Linked DNA regions of Nothobranchius furzeri. The protein of the gene in region 1 purifies or fractionates together with the protein of each later gene. This does not show direct contact. Links are inferred from orthologs where the notes say so. Each region holds a gene or a part of one and is shown in the gene's direction. Other genes may lie near its edges. The genes, in order: wwc1 and amot.

What was found.
Region 2: the proteins of wwc1 (region 1) and amot purify together in Homo sapiens (affinity purification with mass spectrometry; 3 studies listed by BioGRID and IntAct, with this or other methods). This does not show direct contact. The link is inferred for Nothobranchius furzeri from reciprocal best matches to the Homo sapiens genes WWC1 and AMOT.

Annotation. Positions count from the first base shown.
Region 1 is NC_091750.1:71,324,351-71,335,102, forward strand, and holds part of wwc1 (protein KIBRA), read left to right. Parts: intron 1-1,942; coding exon 1,943-2,013; intron 2,014-2,698; coding exon 2,699-2,944; intron 2,945-3,982; coding exon 3,983-4,072; intron 4,073-4,938; coding exon 4,939-5,546; intron 5,547-6,829; coding exon 6,830-6,935; intron 6,936-7,166; coding exon 7,167-7,337; intron 7,338-9,568; coding exon 9,569-9,761; intron 9,762-9,829; coding exon 9,830-9,970; intron 9,971-10,193; coding exon 10,194-10,237; intron 10,238-10,350; coding exon 10,351-10,519; intron 10,520-10,607; coding exon 10,608-10,752. UniProt on the Homo sapiens protein: Regulator of the Hippo signaling pathway, also known as the Salvador-Warts-Hippo (SWH) pathway.
Region 2 is NC_091750.1:44,149,797-44,160,159, reverse strand, and holds the end of amot (angiomotin), read left to right. Parts: coding exon 1-11; intron 12-2,040; coding exon 2,041-2,169; intron 2,170-2,653; coding exon 2,654-2,892; intron 2,893-3,238; coding exon 3,239-3,520; intron 3,521-5,083; coding exon 5,084-5,217; 3' UTR 5,218-7,049; downstream 7,050-10,363. Other genes in the region: smfn (small fragment nuclease), read right to left, coding at 9,789-9,909.

The DNA of each region.
Region 1 (10,752 bases):
TTGTATAAATATTGTCGATCAGTGTCGCACTAGTTCTTGTAATTGGAGTTGGCCGAGTTATTAGTGGATACAGTCCCAGACTAAACATGGAATTAATAAACTCTGTATTTGCATTTTGCATTTGAGGATTCAACAGGTCAGTGTTAAAATCCCCACAGACAAAACACATATTTCTGTTGATTATATCATCACACATATCAACAATCTTTTCTTTAAACATTTCAACACAAGATCCTGGTTTCCTATACATACAACTGACTAACACATTCTTAGACTTTTCCATTTGTATTTCCACAGATACACACTCCATAATGTTATCCATAACTAATGTCATATCACCCACCAATCTACTTTGAAAGTTTTTATCAATATACAAAGCCACGCCCCCGCCTTTTTTGCAGTCTCTACTTGTGGAAAACATATTATATCCTTCATTTTGAAACATAGATATCCTCCCTTCCTGGAGCCATGTCTCAGAGATTGCTGTTACAATAAATTGATGATTTGATTGCTTCAAACATTGCATACTCTTCACAAAATTTGAATTTAGACTTCTACAATTGAAATGTATAACAGATAATTTACCTTTTATAGTGACATTGTGTTCAAACTGTCTTCAGTATAGTATTCACAATGATTATGTAATCTAGTGTAAAAATGGTTATGTGGATCAGTGTCATCCTGCATATCCTGCATGAACATGCATGAAGAGGATGATGTGGACAAAATACTCATTTGCCTAATAATTCTGCACTCCCTGCAGTGGATCTCTAAGGTCAGGCGACTCTTTGAAGGGTTATTTACAATTATAGAAGTGATCAGCAGACACAGTGATTTAGTTATCACTGATTCCGAGAGGGTTTCTCAATGCCAAGGAACCTTGCCTTGATGTCTTGGCCCCGCCCTGGTTGCCTAGGAGGTAGGTCATCGGGAGCCGCCAAGACGTGTTCCAATGTTCATGTTCTACCGAGGCGTGCGTTCTCTGTTAGCCGTTTAACTAGCTGAGCAAGGATATACGGGAGGTGTCTTGTAGCCTAGCCTTGGTCAACAATTCCCCAGAATACACCACGATAATTTCAAAAGGATGGATCAGAAGCTGGCAGCTACTTCGGGGACAATTTTCAAGTTTAAAAGCAAGTCAGCTAATTTAAAATGTTTTTTTCAGATCCAAAGAAGTTATCTATGGTTGGTTAGTTGCTTAGTAGTTGCAGCTTCGGTGGCTAGCGGGTAGTAACTCACTTATATTTTTAATTTAATTAACATGTACACAATTTAAAAAGTAAAAGGCTCGTTATATATTTATATTGAAACTAATACAGTGATCCCTCGCTACTTCGCGGTTCGTTTATCGTGGATTCACGACTTCGCGGATTTTTTCTTTGGAGCCTTATTCAAGGGAAATTCGCCGATTCGCGGTGTTTTTCTATGCGAAATATCAAGAAATTCCTGTTTTTTTTTTTCATCAATTTCATCATAAAATGCACTTTTTGTAATAAAACTATAAAAAAACAAGTAAAAATACAGTACTATGTAAAGGGAGGGTTTCAAAAGTCTGAATACTGAATACGTACCTGTTAAATAAATACTGTAAATATGGTGTCCCTACTTCGCGGATTTTCACCTATTGCGGCCAGGTCTGGAACGCATCTACCGCCATACACGAGGGATCACTGTACATATAAAATATAACATTATCTCCCGTGTCACGTGATGTTACGTCACCGCCGTGGAAGCCGCGGTCACTTGATGCAAGTCTGTTCCATTTTACCGTTTTCTTTGACCTAGGAAGGACAGTGTCCTCGTACGCAAAGCGCCTGGCCTCGCGAGGCCAGGCGTCTTGACATTGAGAAACACCCAGCGATGAGAAGGTCCTCCTCAGTATGATTCATCTGTTGGCTGATTAGTTTAAACATTCATTAGGATGCTTTGGTTTTCTCACCAGTTTTCGACCAGCACCAACAAACTGGCTGAGAAGGTTCGCCTGAGTCTGAAGTACGAGGAGGCCAAGAGGAGGTAACAACACTTTAACTCAGTCAGGAGATCCTGATTTAGCTGGGACGTCGTTGGTTTGTTTAGATAAACGTGTGTGTACCAGTAGAACTGCTTCAGATGTTCTGAAAGCCTCAGCTTCCTGTCTGTAAGTGGGAAGTCTGGACCGTGATCCAGCTGCTGCCAGAGCAGCTGTGGCTACGCTGTAGCTCATCATCACCAGCGTGTGGATGTGTTGCAAAGCACCTTGGGGGGTTGTAGAACCCTAGAAGGCGCTACGTGAATACAAGCCATGTATCATTTATAGTGAGCGGGAAGTCCTAAGTGGGGAAGTCTATGAAGCACAAGATGGATCTGAAACCGGCAACGAGTCCCGCAGATATCGGGCAGTTCCTCGGATACTGGACCGTGGAAAGTTCGTCCAAGAATCTGCTTGGAGAATGGAGCTAAAGTGACCCGGGTCCATCCAGAACCCTGATGTTTCAGACTCAATAGTTTGATCCCATGCTGGACTGGTGGAAGATGTGAGGCTGGAATATTTAGATCCTCTGGAACTTTCACATAAAATAATCTTTTCTGCCTTCACAGGACCCGTTTTCTTAAATGTTTGATCTGAAGTTGATCCGTTTGGTCTTCCCTTCTGCTGTGGAGCCAGCTATAAACCAGGGTGCTCAGCTTTAACCATAGCGTCCTCACCTTCTCCTTCCAGGATCGCCAACATTGAAGTTCAGATCGCCAGACTGGACAGCGAGGCGTGGCCGGGGCTGCTGGACCCGGAGCGGGACCGACTCATCCTCATCAACGAGAAGGAGGAGCTGCTGAAGGAGCTGCAGTACGTCAGCCCCCGGAAGCGCCTGGAGCCCAACGACGCCGAGAAGCTGGAGACGGAGAAGAAACGTCTGGAGAGAGACCTGCAGGCGGCCAGAGACAACCAGAGCAAAGCTCTGACCGAGAGGTGCTTCAGATCGGAGCTTTTGTCTACAGAAAGGTTTTTATGGGTTTAGCTGCAGGGGGATCAGAGAGCTGTGAGATGAATAACTCGGATCAGATCAGCTGGTGAGACCTCTGACCCTTGGATACTCCTGTCTCGTTTTCCTCCATCAGGTCTCCCTGTCCACACACACACACACACACACTCACACACACCCCTCTAACAGGACCGTTGTTGTTCGAGCTCCAGGTCAGACTTTACCTGAGCCCCGTCTCTCTTTGTGTCTCGTCTCCTGTTCCTGAAACCCGAGATGCCGCTAAGCCTCGACACAAGGACCTCTTGTAGCGCACACACACACACACACACACACACACACACACACACACACACACACACACACACACACACACACACACACACACACACACACACACACACACTGAGTCTGCAGCTCTGGAAATGCAACATTCTTTTCTTTTACCGAGTTTCAGAGAAGACGAGAAACCAGACGCAGTTAGCCCCCCCCCCCCCACACACACACACACACAACAGAAACTAACAGTTCGTCTTTGATAATTTCGCACCGTCCAGGTTTGTTCTGCTGCTTTTAGAAAACATTGAAGCTAATTATTCATGTCGGGTTGATAAACGATGGATTCTTCCTTGTTTTGGGTCAAATCTCTAAACCAGCTGGCCGTTTTCTTCCGTCCCTTTGAGTTTCTTTGTTATGTTGTTTTGTTTTTGTGTTCTTAATAATTCACAGACTAGCAAACTTTGTAGTTTTACTTTTTACTGACAGTTTCGGCTCTCACTGGCGCCTTCCTCGGAGTGGTGGTGATGTCACTTCCTTGCTGTTTCATCAATGGGCAGTCGCCCTCTACTTTCCACTTCCTGTTTGTCGATGACCATGTCCCATATGTGATCCACTCTCCTCCATCTCTGTCCACGTCTCCTTTAATCCGTCGTTGCTGACTTTGGCCAATATAGAAAAACTTGTATATATCGGTCTGCCTCTAGTTTTCTGGTTATTTTATTAAACTCCGCTCCCTTCTGTGATTTCAGGCTGCGGCTTCACTGTAAGAGGAACAAGCTGGTGAGAGAGCTGGAGGAGACGGTCCGCCTGGCCACGACGCTGCATACGCAGCTCAAGAGGTCCGTACTCGTCTCCACCAGGAAAGATGGAGTCAAACAACAGCAGCTTCTAAAGCGTAGTGCAGGAAGTTGGACTTTTAGCAGCACGAGCATCAGTCAGTCGGAAAGATTGGGTTGTGTTTGTGAGGAGGTTCTGACGCCTGCTGCTGCTCTGGGTTCGTTCGGCTCAGACGTTTTCTGAGGAAGTAAAAAGCCTGGATTGCTCGTGGGATTTGTGACGTACTGATGTGGTTCTGAGACTGTAGTTTCTTGACTAGTTCCATAAATGAAATGGATGAAAAAATAAACACAAGTAGATAAAAAGCATCATTTACTGGATGCTTGCTCAGATAAAGCTTTAACTGTTAAACCACCGCTTTTATCTTTAGTATCTGAATAACGGAGGCGTGTTTTTGTGTAAAAGTTGTCGATGGCTCGGTGAACAGCCTCTGTTCAGATAAATGGAGTTTAAATCCTTCAGGACTGATGTGCTAACGGCTAGTCTGTTCTCCAGCACTTCCTGTGTTGGTTGTGATGTCAGAGACATTAAGAGCGTCCTGCTGGACTCCATCCCTGGATGCACCGGAATGCTACAGAAGGTTGCCGGTGATATTCACGCTTGTGAGGAACCACAGAATTCCTCCTGAAAATCCCCGTAATGTCAAACGGATGATGTCGTAAATGTTTGCGAGGGAACGTCACATGACCTGACATGAGCTCGGGGATCGGACAGGTTTTGGCTGCTCCCAGACTAGCTGTTAGCTCATCGATCCTGTTCCTCGGAGCAGAGGCGGATCAGGAAACGACGGACGACTGGTTCGATAGGAAGTTGTTCCTTGTTTGTAAATCTGTAAAATTCCCTGACGAGATCTATTTCCTGTCTCCAGCCTTTCCGCCAGCACGCTCTCCTGTTCGTCCGGCAGCAGTCGTGGATCGCTGACCTCCAGCCGCTGTTCGCTGGCCACCACCTCCAGCATGGGCTCCACCTCCTCCCTCAGCTTCACCGACATCTACCTGGAGCAGCCTGAGCTGGCCGACCCAGACCTGCGGAGCAAGCTGGAAGGCCTCCTGCAGGACGGCGGTCAGGGAGGTTACCGGCCATCCAGCTCCATCACCACCATTCACGAGCACGAAGTGGAGACGGGCTGCAGCGGGAGGCAGGGGGGGGATGCTGGGGGTTCTGGTGTCGGAGCGGAGTCCTCCAGGATCCAGGCGCTCAGACCGTCAGAGACTCCTCGCTCCATGAGCTCGTTGTCCCCCCGATCGTCCTTGTCCTCCTTGTCCCCACCTTGCTCGCCGCTGGTTTTGGACACTAGCTTCCCGTCGGGGGACACGTTTTTGGGCCAGACAGAGCCCGGCAGTTTGGGTCTGGATCTGGAGCTCCGCAGCAGGCTGACAGAGCTGGAGCTGAACTCTGAGGAGCAGCGGAGAGAGGAGCACAGGGAGCTGGAGGAGAACCGGAACCACAACAACATGCTGGGAGAGGAGGGAAGAGGTGAGTTCAGCAGAACCGGGTCCAGATGGCATCCTCGGAGCTGTGATCTCCAGTGCTGCTGAGTTTAAAACGTAGTTTTGTACCTTTGATCAGAGTTCGGCCCACAACAACCTGCTGATCCCCTAAATTAGAACGTGGTTTTCATAAATTCTTTAAAGATCGCGTTGCCGCTGTCGCTCGTTCGTGCCGCTTCACGCTGTTGAACACACGAAAGATCTGACCGTACCTGACAACATGCCACCCAGCTCCTGGTGCAGTCTACAGTCACCTCCCGCCTCGACTACTGCAACGCCCTTCTAACGGGTCTTCCAGCCTGGACTGAGACCTCTTCAAATGGTCCAGAACGCAGCGGCGCGTCTGGCCAGCCTAAAAGAGCATGTCACCCCTCTGCCCATTGAACTCTTTTGGCTACAGTTAGCCGCACGCATCAACCTTCTGGGTCAGATACCAGATCCAATCTTTGATTTAAAAAAACAAACAAAAAAAAACAGAAAAAGTAAATTCAGGAAAGTAATGACAGACAAAACCACCGTAAAAGGCTGGAATGTTTAAAGATGAGATGTGATGGAGTTCTCAGATCCTTTTGCTTCTCTGGGTTCACAGGAGATTATAATTTATACGACGGAGATTAAATCCACCGACCTTTTATTTATTTATAAAACCTTACAGACGGTTCGGATCAGGAATCAGGAGCGGGTTCTCTAGGAATGTGGAACACCAGGAATCCTCCTTCCACTGGGGTTTGGGAGACCCGGGAATGATCTGTGGGATCATGAGAGTCGGGCTTTGAAGAGAGGACCGGTCCTCGGGTTCCTGTTGGATCTGCAGGTGAAAGGTGTAGGCGGTGTCTGGTTTCCTGCAGCCAGAACCCGACCCGGTACCAGGTTCTAATTATACATGCAGCACTTTCTCAGAGCGTTCCCTCTCCGTCGTCTCAGCTTCAGGCTTCTGTTCCTCTGCTTGGTGTCGGTGAGCCGCTCTCAGCTTTCAGGTTTAATCCGGATCTGTGATGTGTTCATTCTTACAGCGACCAAACAAAAACCAACAACTTTTATTAAATAATGAAAGGATTTCAGACTCGTCTACACCTTTGTTTGTTTCATCTGGATGAGGAAAAACATTTTTATTTCTGCTTGAAGTCCTTGGAAATGGTTGAATTTATATTTATTTGAAATGTTTTAAATTAGCATTTGTGCAGTTTGCACAAGAAGGTTCAATAATATGAGACAACGAGATCGCTCGACTCCCACGTCTTCACCTCCTCCTATTCTGCCTCCTTTCAGCTCCCCAGCCGCGAGGGGTGGGGCCAAAGAAGATGGGCGTGACCTCCGCTGTCTCTGACGAGTCGGTGGCCGGCGACAGCGGCGTTTACGAGCCGTCAGAGCGCAGGTCTGTCTGCTTTGATCTCCACAGAGTGGTTCTGGTTTGTCTTCTGTAAAGCGGCTCTAATGTTGAGGCTCTAATGAGGTTTTTATTGTGTTTTTAACACCAATAATTGCTTGAAAATAGAAGTGAAATCTGGTTTCAGCAGCTTCCTCAGTCATTGTTTGACCCCAGACCTCCACTGTCAGAACCTGACGTTCAACCTGTGAATCTTTTTGTTTTTATTGTCTCCTCCAGACCGGGCCTTCCTGCAGACCTCCTCCTGAGCTCCTACGAGGAGCGGCTGACCTCAGGCTGCTCTCAGGTGCAGCTCGGCTTCCGTTACGAGTCCAGAGACCAGCGTTTCACCGTCTATATTATGCAGCTGTCCAACTGCAGCGCCCTCTGCCTGCCAGCTGACCAGAAAATGTAGGAACCTACTTCTGTTAACTGGATTCTGGTCATCAGAGCTTTGATATAATCTGCTGCGATGTTTTGTTAAAGAACGTCGTGTGACGTAAATGTTGTTCCAGGTGAAGTTTTTAATCTTATGAACTCATTCCCATTAGGGGTGTGTATTGGTGAAAGTCTGGTGATACGATACAATATATCACGATATATCGCCATATCGATATTTTCTTACATCCCTAATTCACGTGGTGTTCTAGAAATTCTAGAAGATGTGTTTTGGTCTCAGGAATCTTCAAAAGCAACCTGGCTTCTTTATTTTCCTGAGGATGTTCTGCTCATCATCTGAGCCGTTTCACGAGTAAAGATGGAATGTGCCGAGCTTTATGGGCTCGACACACGGGAGGCGACATCGCCTCTCCTCCATTTTCAATGAGACGTGCGCGACAAAGCGATAATCGCGGGTCTCCCTCCTACTAAGCAAAACGCGAAAACCGTGCATGTGAACTTTTGCGCTTGTGCACGTGTCGTGCACAGGCGACCCAGCAACGCAATCCCAGAAATTTGAAATATTTTCAACTTTTCATTGCTGTCGCTCAGACGAGGACCAATGAACGGAGGTTTCATTCACTGACCAATGAGCAGACAGGATGCTCCGTACACCTCCGAGCAAACATGGAGGAGAAGTTGATACTTGCTGTGACGGATTTCCCAGAACTGTACAATATTTCTACCAAAGAATATAGAGAAGTTCCCAAAAGGGAAATTGTCGGTGCCAGAAAGAACACATTGGGATCGTACTTGAGGTCCCTCATTAAATGATGGTATTCTCCGTTTCTTTCTCTGGTTTGTAATATGGGACGAACCCATTCTCGAAGTTTTTTTTATATTGTAAAATCAGAAGTAAGATTTCACATAACTCTAGCGGCACCTTGTGACACATCATATCTACCACTTTTTTAACTCTGAACCACTTAAATAACCTTAATTCCCTCCAACCTGACACAGCCAATCAAAACAACGGATGATTCGATTTCGCCATGGAACAGAACGCGCCGACGGCTTTGCCGCTGCCGCGGGTCGCCTCCCGTGTGTCAGGTAATTAAAGCGACGAATTTCGCTGATCGAGGTTGTTTGTCGCCTCCCGTGTGTCGAGCTCATCAAACTGTAGTTTGTTGATGCGATGATGATTTAGAGGAACGAGAATATTTCAGCATTAATGTAGCTTTGAATCTGATCGCCAAACAGTCTCACAGCAGTACATCTTCAGGAGTGTCGTCAAACATCTCTGGCCCTTGTGACCTTCAGGGGGAAGGGATTTATGAGATAATAGGAGTGTGTATTAGCGAGAATCTGGCCGTACGATGTTAATCACAGTACAGGGGAGACGATATGATATATTGCAATACTAAAAGCAAGCATCATATTTGCTGTTCTTAACTCGTTCATTTTTTACTGTGTGGGCGTCGGACGAGCCCCCGCACCGTGAGAACAAACATCTCAGCTCTAAAGTTGATCTTCATCCGCATACGTCACACGTCACGTGATCAGGAAGCAGAACATCCATGTGTTAGGAGATCGTTTTGGGCCACTGTTGTAAAAAAAGTGAGGCGCGAACCGGAAAAGCTTCTGCCGACCACAATTCAACAACGGATTATGAAAGAACGGATAACGCTCGAAACGTGCGGATTCTTCCTGATGTAAGAGGTGAGTCTCCGCTTTGTTTTGGCGTTGACATCATCCTAGCGCGCACCGTTCAGTGACTCTTAAAAAAACAGTAAAAACAGTGAGAAATGCTGGCAGCGAATGAGTTAAGAGTGAATTTAATCAAGAACTCGACCCAGACGCTTCCAGACACGCCCAGTGTTATCGTGGTTCCTTCTGACAGAAATGGGTAAAAACTGCTGCCACCTAGCTGTTGGAGTTTGAGTTACATCTCACAAAATAAATACAGTAAATGTTTGCATGTAAATTCACAGTAAAAGAATCGATGCACCGCTTTCAAATATTGATTCAGTATCAGAACATGAAATATCGCAATACTTCAGCATATCGATATGTCCTTACATCCCCACAAGATGTTGTCCTGTAATAAACTCTCCATAAAGAGGACGTCTAGCCTTTTCTGAACCTGCTAGAGCTAAAACATCTGCTTTAGTTTGTTTCTGTGCTGTTTGCTTCGTAGCAAACGCTCCGGCTGGTCTGAAGCTAACAAACAAGCTGCAACGGGACGTTTAATGTTTGTCCTGCAGGTACGTCCGCCTGGCGGTGCTGCCCTCCGTCCAGGCCATGCGTTGCCTCTTCCGAACACGCAGCTCGCTGCCTCAGGAAGTCGTGGAGATCAACGAGGTGTTTGGCATGCAGATTTCCCACGGTGCGTTGCGGCAGAAGACGCTGAGGGTTGACGTCTGTGACGGCAGCACGTCGGGCCTCGAGGAGTGTCTGGTTAGTGTGATGATCCCGTTAGACGTGACGAGTTTAGACGGATGTAATAAAATTTGTTCTTCCTCCAGGCGGGGGCTCAGATCAGCCTGGCTGACATCAGCTGTTCGGAGGACAGGTGCACCAAGTGGTACAACCTACTGAGTCGCCTCTACATGCCTGAGATCAGCAACAAGGACAGAGGGAGCAGAGCAACGGGTGACTCTGATCAGGTACCGGTGGGGGGGACACTGACACCTGGTGGTTGGGTTGGAAAGGACACTCAGCAGCTAAACAACAAAACCCGCCATTTTTAAAGTTGCTCTTGTTAGTTTAATAATAAAAAACAATCCGCACTTAAATGTAGGTAAACGTCACCTGACTGATCATCACTTTAACACCTTATTGTAGATTTGCTGCTGAGTTCTGAGTAATGGACGAGATGTTTTGTTTCAGGCTGGTGTTGGTAGCAGAGAGGAGGACCGAGCTGGTGATGATTGGTGAGTTTTACCTCCTCTTTGGTTCTGCTGCTCCTTCTGTAGAAAGCCTCGTCCCTGGTTCACAGCTTCTGACCTGATGATAAATAAATGGGGTTTGGCTTTTAAATCTTCAGGTGCAGCGGTCATCTGAAGGCAGATGTACTTGATGAAGATGAGGGTGGAGATGGGGAGGAGCTTCAGGAGGAAGAAGATGAGTTCTACCCTGAGAGCAGCCAGTGGGAGACGGAGGAGGAGGAGGAGGTGACCAAACCCCCTCCAGCTGCAGCACCCATCACAGAGAAGGTAGAACTTTGTTTCTGCTGGTTGTGGATGAAGACGGATAGTTACGGATGCCAGTAGGTCTAAAGTCTTCATCGTCTCCTCCGTCCAGGTGAACAAGGAGACCAGTACGGATGGATTATCCTCGTCCCATCACTGCTTCGTGGTTCGACCCAAAGAGCGCCGCCCGGACGTCCACCAGCAGAACCCGTTCATGAGGGGCAACACCATCATTCGCTCCAAGACCTTTTCCCCTG
Region 2 (10,363 bases), about 27 Mb from region 1:
GCTACTCAGAGGTGAGCGTTTCTCCAGTTAGGGGCGTTATGTTTATGTTTATGTATTTAGCAGACGCGTTTGTCCAAAGCGACTTACAAGTGATAATCGGCATGTTGCCCTTGAGGCTAACAACAACTTGACATCAGTCATGGAGAGGAGGGAACAAGGAGTGGACAGTAGAGAGGGGGGACGGGTGCAGGGAGGGTGCTAGTTTAGAAGATGCTCTCTGAAGAGCAGGGTCTTCAGGAGTTTCTTGAAAATTGAAAAGGAAGCCGCTGTTCTGGTAGTGCTTGGAAGGTCATTCCACATTTGTGGAACGATGCATGAGAAGAGTCTGGATTGTCCTGAGCGTGGTGTAGGCACTGCTAGCCGATGATCCTGTGATGACCGGAGCGGCCGGGCCGAGACGTAAGCCTTTGCAAGAGGATTCAGGTAGAGGGGAGCCGTACCATCTCGGACTTTGTATGCTAGTGTTAGCAATTTGAATTTGATGCGTGCTGCTAGCGGTAGCCAGTGGAGCTCAATGAACAGAGGGGTGACGTGTGCTCTTTTTGGCTGATTGAAGACCAGACGCGCCGCTGCGTTCTGGACCATTTGAAGAGGTCTCACAGTACAGCCTGGAAGACCAGTTAGAAGGGCATTGCAGTAGTCGAGGCGGGAGATGACAGTAGATTGCACCAGGAGCTGGGTGGCATGTTGTGTTAGGTATGGTCTGATCTTTCGTATGTTATACAGCGCAAAGCGGCATGAACGAGCAACAGAGGCAACATGATCTTTAAAGGTCAGGTGTTCATCAATCACAACACCCAGATTTCGAACTGCATTTGAAGGAGCCAGAGACAGGAAGTCATTCTGGATTGAGATATTGTGCTGTATGGATGGTTTCGCTGGGATGACAAGTAGTTCAGTTTTAGAGAGGTTGAGTTGAAGATGGTGGGATTTCATCCATTTTGATATGTCAGAGAGACAGTTTGATATTCGTGCAGAGACAGTGTGGTCGTCTGGTGGAAATGACCGATAGAGCTGGGTGTCGTCTGCATAGCTATACGTCTCACGCAGGAACATCTGGACTTGGGTCATTTAATGTCCAACATACTCGTTACCTTACCAACATGTGGTAAGTGTAGTCAGTTAGAGATTTTGTAATAGGAATCCTCTACGTGTTAGGCTGCACGCTTCCATTTAGCCCACAGCAGGTGAAAGATCGCATCTCATTACAAAATCTCAAATGAGCCAAAAATCCCCACTAGACTGAAACCGATTATAATATCCAAAAGCTGCTGAGTATGTTGTTGTAGTCCCACATCAATCGAATCTTCTGACCAGCGTCATAGGAACAGCACAGTCTGTGTAAGGCGGGAGGAATTTCACGTTGTTCTCAATGAAAATGTTACATTACCATGGTAACCCCACATGTAATACAAGTAATAATTTACACTTCTTGTGCCTGAACGGAATGTTTTGAGGAGTAAATTGTGCTGGTGAATGAATGAATGACATCTTCATTTCAGACATAAAAAATATTAATTATATTATTTATTATTTTATTATTATTATTAAATAATTAATAACAGATCTAATCAGGAAATGACAGGAAAATTATGATGTGCTCATTAAATCCTACCCCCCAGATGCCTCATCCAATAAAAACACCCATATAAATATTTGTATACTTAAGGTGTCCTCCATGTCACACATAACACTAACTCGCTCACCAGATCATGCAGAAATACGGCCCATCACATGTACTCCTGCATTAATGATTCTTTTAATAAAATATTTTAGTTGATTTATAATTACACAGCTTTTTAATTCCTCATCAGCCCTGTTCCACACATTTCCTCCACAGACTGAAATGCACATTATCCTCATTGGTGTACATGTGGACACAGTCCCCATGTCCCATGTGCAAAGACTATTTTCAAAGGTACAACAAGGCAGGAGACTCCTGGTCTATGTATATGGACTAGAGTGAGAGACATGGTAAAACTCACCTGATGACTGGAAGCCGCCGTTCTGTTGACGTGAACTTTGACCTTTGTTGTGCAGGGATGCTTCTGCAGCAGGAATAAACCACTCACCAAGCAGCAGCTACGACACGTCGCTGGAAGCTCGCATCCAGAAGGAGGAAGAGGAGATCCTCATGGCTAATCGTCGCTGCCTGGACATGGAGAGCAGGTTAGAGCCACATTCACTGTGTGCACTTCTGTCTTCATTCACATGTACATGACGTGCAGGCTCCCCTCACCCTGACCGCTGAGGCGTCGTCGCTCCTGAACTTTAACTGCAGGAGTGATGAGTCAAAGACTTTTGTGAAACACCACATAGCTCAGACTACTGATGGATGGACCACCAGAACCACAGAAGTTTTCCTAACTCGGACTCATGGTTACATTACCAGTGTTAACCAGCTGAGAGCATTGTCTGGAAACTGTTAACCGCAGCAGAGAAACCTCTCCTCTCTGATGGAAATGCAGAGAGAAGGGTCACATGGTGTCACTGTATAGCTGTAAAGGTTCCTGTTACCTTGGGTCGGGGTTAAGGTTGTTGCCTATTGCTGAACCTGTTAATTAAAGAAGCAGGTGGGATTAGTGCTGACTTGCACACTCAATTTCTCTCGATTAAGGGAGCTAAAGCTGTATTCTGTTCTTATATCCTCCAGGATAAAGAATCTCCATGCACAGATCATTGAGAAGGACGCCATGATCAAAGTTCTCCACCAGCGCTCCAGAAAAGAGCCCACCAAGTCAGATGCACCATCTGCAATGAGACCATCTAAGTCTCTGATGTCCATCTCTAACACTGGCTCTGGTGGGTCAGGGTTACTGTCTCACAGCCTTGGACTCAGCAGCTCCCCGATCACTGAAGAACGCAAAGACACAAGCTGGAAGGGCAGTCTGGGTACAGACCTGTCTGTTTTTTTTCTTTTTGTGCTGAGGATTAACTTCTTTGTAAATCAGACGTCAGAAACGTAAACAAACCCAGAACAAAGTACTCTGTTGTCATAGAGTACCACTACAGACATTCTGTGCTTCTGTTTTTACCTACTTTCAAACAAATCATTCCCAAACTAAACACTGGAACTCCTTTGTCATCAATATCCTAACTTCATGAAGGAGTACAGTGTTTCATAAAAATCACAATTGTTGCAAAAATAAGAAAGATGAGCATTTTTAGAAGTGCCTAAATACATGAAGCAGAAGATGTCCTTGCTTTTTGATGAGATCTTGTTTTCTTGGTTTTCCAGGGGTTCTTTTGGGTCCAGAGTCTCTGAGGACAGAGTCGATCTCATCTTCCCCTTCTCCCATACTGTCTTCCACCTCGATGATCACAGGCCACTCTAAGACTGGCAGTAGGGATAGCTGCACACAGACCGACAAGGGTCAATGCCAGGACACCAGCAAGCCCAACACTCCAGTCCTGCAGAGTATGACGCTGCCAGCCCGCCTGTCCAGCCCCAGCCCGGTTTACATCCCTGATCGCTTAGCAGGTCAGCTCACTCCATCGGAATTACACAGGATGCTACAAGGTGAAGAATGCCAAGCCACTTTACTCTCACCTTACAAAGCAAACTTTACCAAATTCGCTTTACTAAAAACAAAACGCACTTTACTAAAGTAAAAATTTCTAAACAAAACTTCTAAAATGAACTTTTCCTAAAATCACTTTACTAAAACAAAACATACTTTACTAAACAGGGTTGGGCACCGAGCATCGATTTGAACCGGGACCAACAGTTAGTTTTTCCTGGAATCGTTCAAAGTTTTATTTCGATTCCTAGTTTTGATTCCTAGAATGCCGACGGAAGAGGAATCCGCGGCCGATTTCAGTGAAAAATAAACGTGATCTGCAAATTGTGATCAACACTTTTCAGAGCTGATCACACCAGCTGTCTGTGTGCAGCACCGAGTCCCCCCCTCCCTCCAACCCAGATATAAACAAATGCGTCTGCCGAACTTTTACTCCGTGATGTAAACTTTAACTCCTGCAGCGTAGAGGAAACGTGTTAAAATACATCAACACGGTGGATTTAATAGAAGCTTTAAAGAACAAACTCTGGATGGTGTGAGGTGAGTTTGTCTCACGGCAGAAATAAAAATACACACGGAGCGTCAGCGTGCGTGTGTGTGTGTGTGTGTGCGTGTGTGCGTGCGTGTGCGTGTGCGTGTGCGTGTGTGTGTGTGAGCATCAGAAGGCTGAACAATAACCTGTAGAATAATTAAGGTCATCATGCTAGAGCAGCTTCTCTGTGGTGGACCACACCAGCTTCTGCCACAATAAATAATAATAATAATAATAATAATAAATCACACACAAAGTTGTGAAATTTCCTTTCTGAACTGTTTCTGTTGAGTTTTAATGTTTAAAATCTGTTAGATTGTTACTGACAGCAGCTACGTTTAAGTTTCACTTCCTGTTCTGACTGAACGCTGCTGCAGCATGGAGGTGTGGTTCTCAGTAGGGATGTCCCGATCGGGTTTTTTTGTCCTCGAGTCCGAGTCATCAGGAGGAGGTCTGAAAAAAGGCCTCGGAACCAAAAAGACAAATCTGACCTGTGTGTGAAACCAAATTCCGGGATCGAGCTGACGCTAATGTGTAAACGCCATTACACACATGTGCAAACAAACACACACACACACTACTTGTATAGAGAGAAGACCGATTCCCAGACTGACTTATTGTTCCAACCAAACTTTATAACCATTCAGCTAGTGGTTAGCATTTTGGTTGTACTCACTACTCTGGCTTCTCCATCAGGTGGTCTTAACATTTAAATATCGTCTGTTTAAAGAAGTAATCCGTCTGAAACCCCACTCCGGTACTGGCGGATGTTCAACAAGCAATCGGTGGACTGTCACATTCTGGCTGAGTTTTTTAGCACTCCTGAGGTTAAAATCCAACCATTTCTACCATCGAAACTCTTCTGGAGTTAGCGACACGTTTTACTGATCAGATGTTGGAGACTTGAGGCCTAGATACCAGCCCACTGTTGGGCTGTGTGTTTTATTTACTCCCTGGCCTACTGGATGGAGTTTTGTGTTTGATGCTGTTATTAGAACTTTACATTTAGGATGTTTATTTGTTTGTGTAGATGTACCTGCTTTTCACAGCAGCACGCTGGAGAGAAGGTTTCCTGTCCAGGCCCTGGTGCTGCCGCCAGCTCCTGCTTCAGCTCCACCACCACAACAGGAGGTGGACTCAGACGTGGTGGAGATCCTCATCTGAACTCAAGAAGAAAACAGCAATAAGTGATCAGATGGCAGCTTCATTCCAAATCAACGTGGTTCTGATTTGTCTTTATCCTCCACGTCTTAGACACCGATCCGCCCGGCGAGACTCCTCTGGTTTAGTTGTTTTTGCTGCATTTATTTAACATTTGCACCCTGATCGGGGACAAAAACGCAACCACCACAGTCCTGTTTCATCTCAGTTTTGTAGTTTGCAATAATGAAATAATACAGGTCATAACTTCTTATTTATTGGCTTTTTAGATGCTTTTTCCTTTAGTGCTTCAACAAAACTAGATCAATGGTACCGGGGTAGGGTCCCCACAATGATTCCTACAGATCCTGAGCACAGACCAGGCACCAGACGTCTTTCCACTCTGAAGCTTAAAGGGTAAATGTTTACAGCTTCTGTGTACCTCTTTTTTTCCTACGTAAACCTGACAGCGGGTACTGTTTATGTGAAATTCTTGGTACTTGCAGGACTCTGAAACTCTGCATGCTCATCAGCCCTGTGTACCGCCGTGATAGCAGAAATCTTAATCATCTAATCATTGCAGCTACATTAACCTCCTTCTGTTGGGTTGATATGGTGTTCATTAGAGCTGGAGTTTGGGAAACGGATACTAAACCTGACTTTGGTCATGTCTTTGTGCTCCATCTAACCTCTGGAAATACTGCAGACCTCCATACCCTTCCGTCTGCCACACAGTAACCCTAACCCAGCAGCAGCAATGTTACTTTGCAGAAACTTCCTTCAGCGTCTGAATCCAACTGCTTCTCCAAATCATGTGGCTTTGGTAAACAATCTGTAACGTGGAGGAATGTGTGTCACCTGCCACCTTCATGCTGGAGTTTTATTAATCTGCTCTTTGCTAACTCACTAACATCTGTTTATTCTCTTAGCTCATGTGTAATTTAATCAGATTGTTTATCAACACACTCAGTGTAACGGAAAAACCGTTTGATTTGATCAGAGAACAAAAGCCTCAGTTTGGTGACAGTGTTGTTAGTCTGGGTGCGTGTGTGTGAGAGGACAGCGAGCAGAAATGTTTTCATCAATCCAGAAATCCACGTTTGTGAAGCCTAAACCTCTGCAGACCTGGAGCATGCAGGGCTGAGTACGCCTCAGCGTTGGAGCTAGTAGACCGTCAGGTTGGACAGGATGACTCTGAGACCTGGGCTTCAGCCTATTTATGCAAATTACACTTTCTGTTTACTGTCTTGAGATCATTTCAGTTTTTTCAGCTCCATTTAAATTAGAAAAGTGGACGGAAAGCCATTCTTCACCTTACACCTGTATAAAAGACATTATCCTTTTAGCGGCTGCAGTACACAATAATGTAGCTAATGTATGTTTTTCATTGTTGTTGGATTTACTTTTTATTATCGCTGCACAATCAGCCACAAACCCAGCACAGCTCTTACTAAACAGTTTAGAGGATTTACCCCTAAAATCTCCACAGGGAGAAGGAAGGCCAGGCAGGAAGTGTAGCTACACGCCTAAACTCGGTTATCGGAGCAAAGAAATGTAGGTGTAGTACACCGAAGTTAAAATAAACCAATAACCGAAAAGCAAACTTGCACTACAGTAGCTGGTCCAGCAGGTGGAGCAAAGCAAAACACATAAAAATGAAGTTCTCCATCTGTACATGTGACTGCTCTGGAGATGAACACATGATGATCATGTGATGTCCAGAGCTCCATCAGCGGTAGAGTGACCCTTTGTTAGCGCATAACCAAACCCTGTTATGGTTTTATTCGTTTACAATAATGTATGTGTACTTCCTGTTACATTCTTAATGCCTTAAATAAAATAGCACTTTGAATCAACTCGGTTGTTTTTTAATGTGATCAATAAAGTTTAACATTATGTGAAACGTTTCTGTCTGCTCTCAGAGGTCTGACCCAGACATATGTCTCCAGACGAAGCACATTCTGCGGAAAGCCAACGTAACAAACATGTTGGCTAAACGACGTGTCGAAGGGCTACACCAGAGTAGACGAGGGTCAAAGCGGAGGTCACCAACACCACTATACAATAAAACGTATCTGAAGTTTGCTGAGATGTTTTTAATCACAAATGCATTAATATAGATCTAAAAACTACAATATTCTTTAAAAACAAATTATGTTTATTATACACAAGGGTTCGGTTTAATGCTGATCCATTCCAGTTCAAAGGCCAGTGTTGTACCAACCTGGTGGCCCTTCGTATAGCTCAGTACCCAGGAAGTGGCTCTCAGCTATACAAAGGTTGGTGACCGCTGGCCTAAAGCTTTGATCTGCTGCAGCAAACCAAACGTCCAGCTGATGGAATCCGAGTTCTCGTAGGAACATTTCCTAATTAAATTAAATAACAGCTGATCAGGGATTAAATGCTAAAGGGACGACCATCGCTGCTTTCCTGTCTCTTTAGGATAGAAGCACTGGTCCAGTCATTACACACCAGTACAATAAAGAGTTCATCTTTTATTTTTAAACTCTGGACAGTTGTGTTCCTGTTAATCTTTCTGAGCTGCATCACAATGATGATCCAGCATGTTCTCAAGGAACCTCTTAAATAATGGGTGAGTTTCTGTTTATCTGCTGACGCAGCAGAATGACCTTTGACCCTACTACAGTAGATCAGATGTTTTACCAACTCTAAAGGATCTCCGTAGATCTGGAGATGGACCGTTCTGCCTCTGCACGCCAGAATGGCTCCGTCTCTGGAGGTATTTTAATCTCCAGAAACATTTTTTATTCTCCGTTTCAGACGCCACCTGCTGTCGGACACTTCACTTTTTCATCCTCTCAGCCGTGTTTTTGTCTTGCTGCTCTGTAACAACACGGTTGTTCTGGTCACGTTCCATGTGTCATCTAAACCAGGGGTTCTCAAACTTTAGAGAACCAGGGACCCCTTACAGGGGTAAAAACACATAACACACGTTACTGGAGTATAAACCTTTAAAGAGCAAGTCACACCAAAATCAGCTTTTTTTGCTGATAACTGGTATAAATAAATGTATTATAGTGTTGTAGACTTGTGTAGTCATCATTTTGGTGCATTTTCTTAGACTCAAAATTCTGCCTAAACCCTTCAGCTCCAAAAAATTCTACACTAATTGACAACAGCAGTTTGAAATCTGTCTCCACCGATGGGTAAATCATCCCTTCCATGTTGTGGCCTGGTTCGCCATTTTTGTTGGGCCGTGTAATCCTCGTCTTTTCACTGGAAAATCTTTAGTTTAAACATAAAACTAGCTTTGTGATGAGGCGCCTCCTTAACTTAGCTGGTTCATTCCTTCATTTGCTGCTCTTGAAGACACATTTTGGTCCATCATCATGCATGTCGACACTAGACTCCAGATTACGGTACTTTAGTATTTCAGTGGGTTTTACTTTTGCATTACTTGATTAAGTGAACAGACTTAAAAATGTGTCTGCGCTAATTCATTCTTCAGAGGATGCATCTTCAGGCCCAATACGTGAGGACCTTCAGTTTATGGCTCGTGTACTTCTGGTGGCCCAAGGATCCTAGTTCGAGGAGGACCTCTCTGATCCACAACAGGTCATCAGGGACTGTCAGGCGCAAAAGGAAGTTTTCTAGGGTTGTGTTGGAGTTCTCTATTTCAACCCGACTCGAGCCCACAAGCTGGGCTGACTACTTTGAACAGCAGAGGGTGGGGACATGTGGCCATACATAAATGATAAAAATAAAGAATCCTGAATTCAGTTCCGACTACAAAAATAAAATGCTAAAACAATCCTGAGATGCGAGGTTCAGTCAGCGTTCAGGTACAGGAACAGTGTTCCTAAATGCATCACTACCCGCACATGGTTGCCCCCCACCTGACCTTGAAGCCTGCCATTGGTGATGTTATTTTGGGACATCTTCTGGTCATTTAGGGGTTGTGTTACAATCTTTGCTGAATTGCTTTGGAAAACTCGTTAAAAGTGTGATTTTTATTACAATTACACGGAGATAAAAACAGGAAAAAAAGCCCACTGAGAATAGAAACAAAGGTGTTCCCACAAGGGAGATGAAAGCCTGTAATCTATGGATCGGTCCCTAGCTCTCACAGTTGCTAGGACGACCAGAAGAACTTAATACAGTTGGCACTAGAACCCAGTACCAATCCTCTGCACCACACATCTGACAAGTGTTTAGGGACGTTTTATTATATTTATACCTTATGTTGCCAATACACAAGTGACTTTAGGCACGTTTGTTCAGTTACAGATGCGCAAAAAAATGCGCGCGCGCACACACACACACACACACACACACACACACACACACACACACACACACACACACACACACACACACACACACACACACTGTGCTGACATGAAAACAACAATCTGATGCTTTTTAAACGTTGCTCACTTTATTTCTTTTGAAAAAGCCGTTTCTAGAATATTTTGCACATTTTGCTGCTGTCTGCAGTGAAATGTACTAAATAGGTGAAACAATGCTAAAAGAAAGGTTGCAGAGAACTTAAACAAATGAAGAAACTAAAATCAAGTCATTAGAACTGACTAAACTTCAATTCAAGCATTTCCTGGTGGTCCCATCTACGGGGGCTACTTCTGATTGCTGTCTCCATTTCCTATAATCTCACACTTTTCAGCCCAGGAGGATTTGAAGATGTTGGCTCTGTAGTACTGCAACTCCTTTATACTCTCATGGATGTCCTCTAAGGCTCTGAAACATGAAAAAGGTTATATTAATACATACAAGTATTTGTAATTGTAGCATCCCCGGTTGAAGAGATGGTCTCTCAAACTGATGGTTCACAATCCTTTTATTAAAAAGCCGTGCGTGTGAACACACCGTAAGAGCTACCACATACAGAATAAAAGACTATTAGTAAATCAAACAGTGTGTTACCTTTAACCACTTGGACTTGTTTATTCATCACAAATTAATTCTCTTTACCTTTCATAACAAATAACACTGAAACTTGTCAATTATTGCATAGAACAGTGGTTCCCAACCTTTTTACCAGTAAAATTTTTGACCACCCCCTCCCATTCTCTCTTCCAGTACAAACATTATTAAGAAATGATAAAATTGTTCAAGCACATTTTAATATGCTTTGATTCAATAGAAAACAGTAATAGTAGGCTCCAGTACAGAACAAAGTCATTAACAAAAC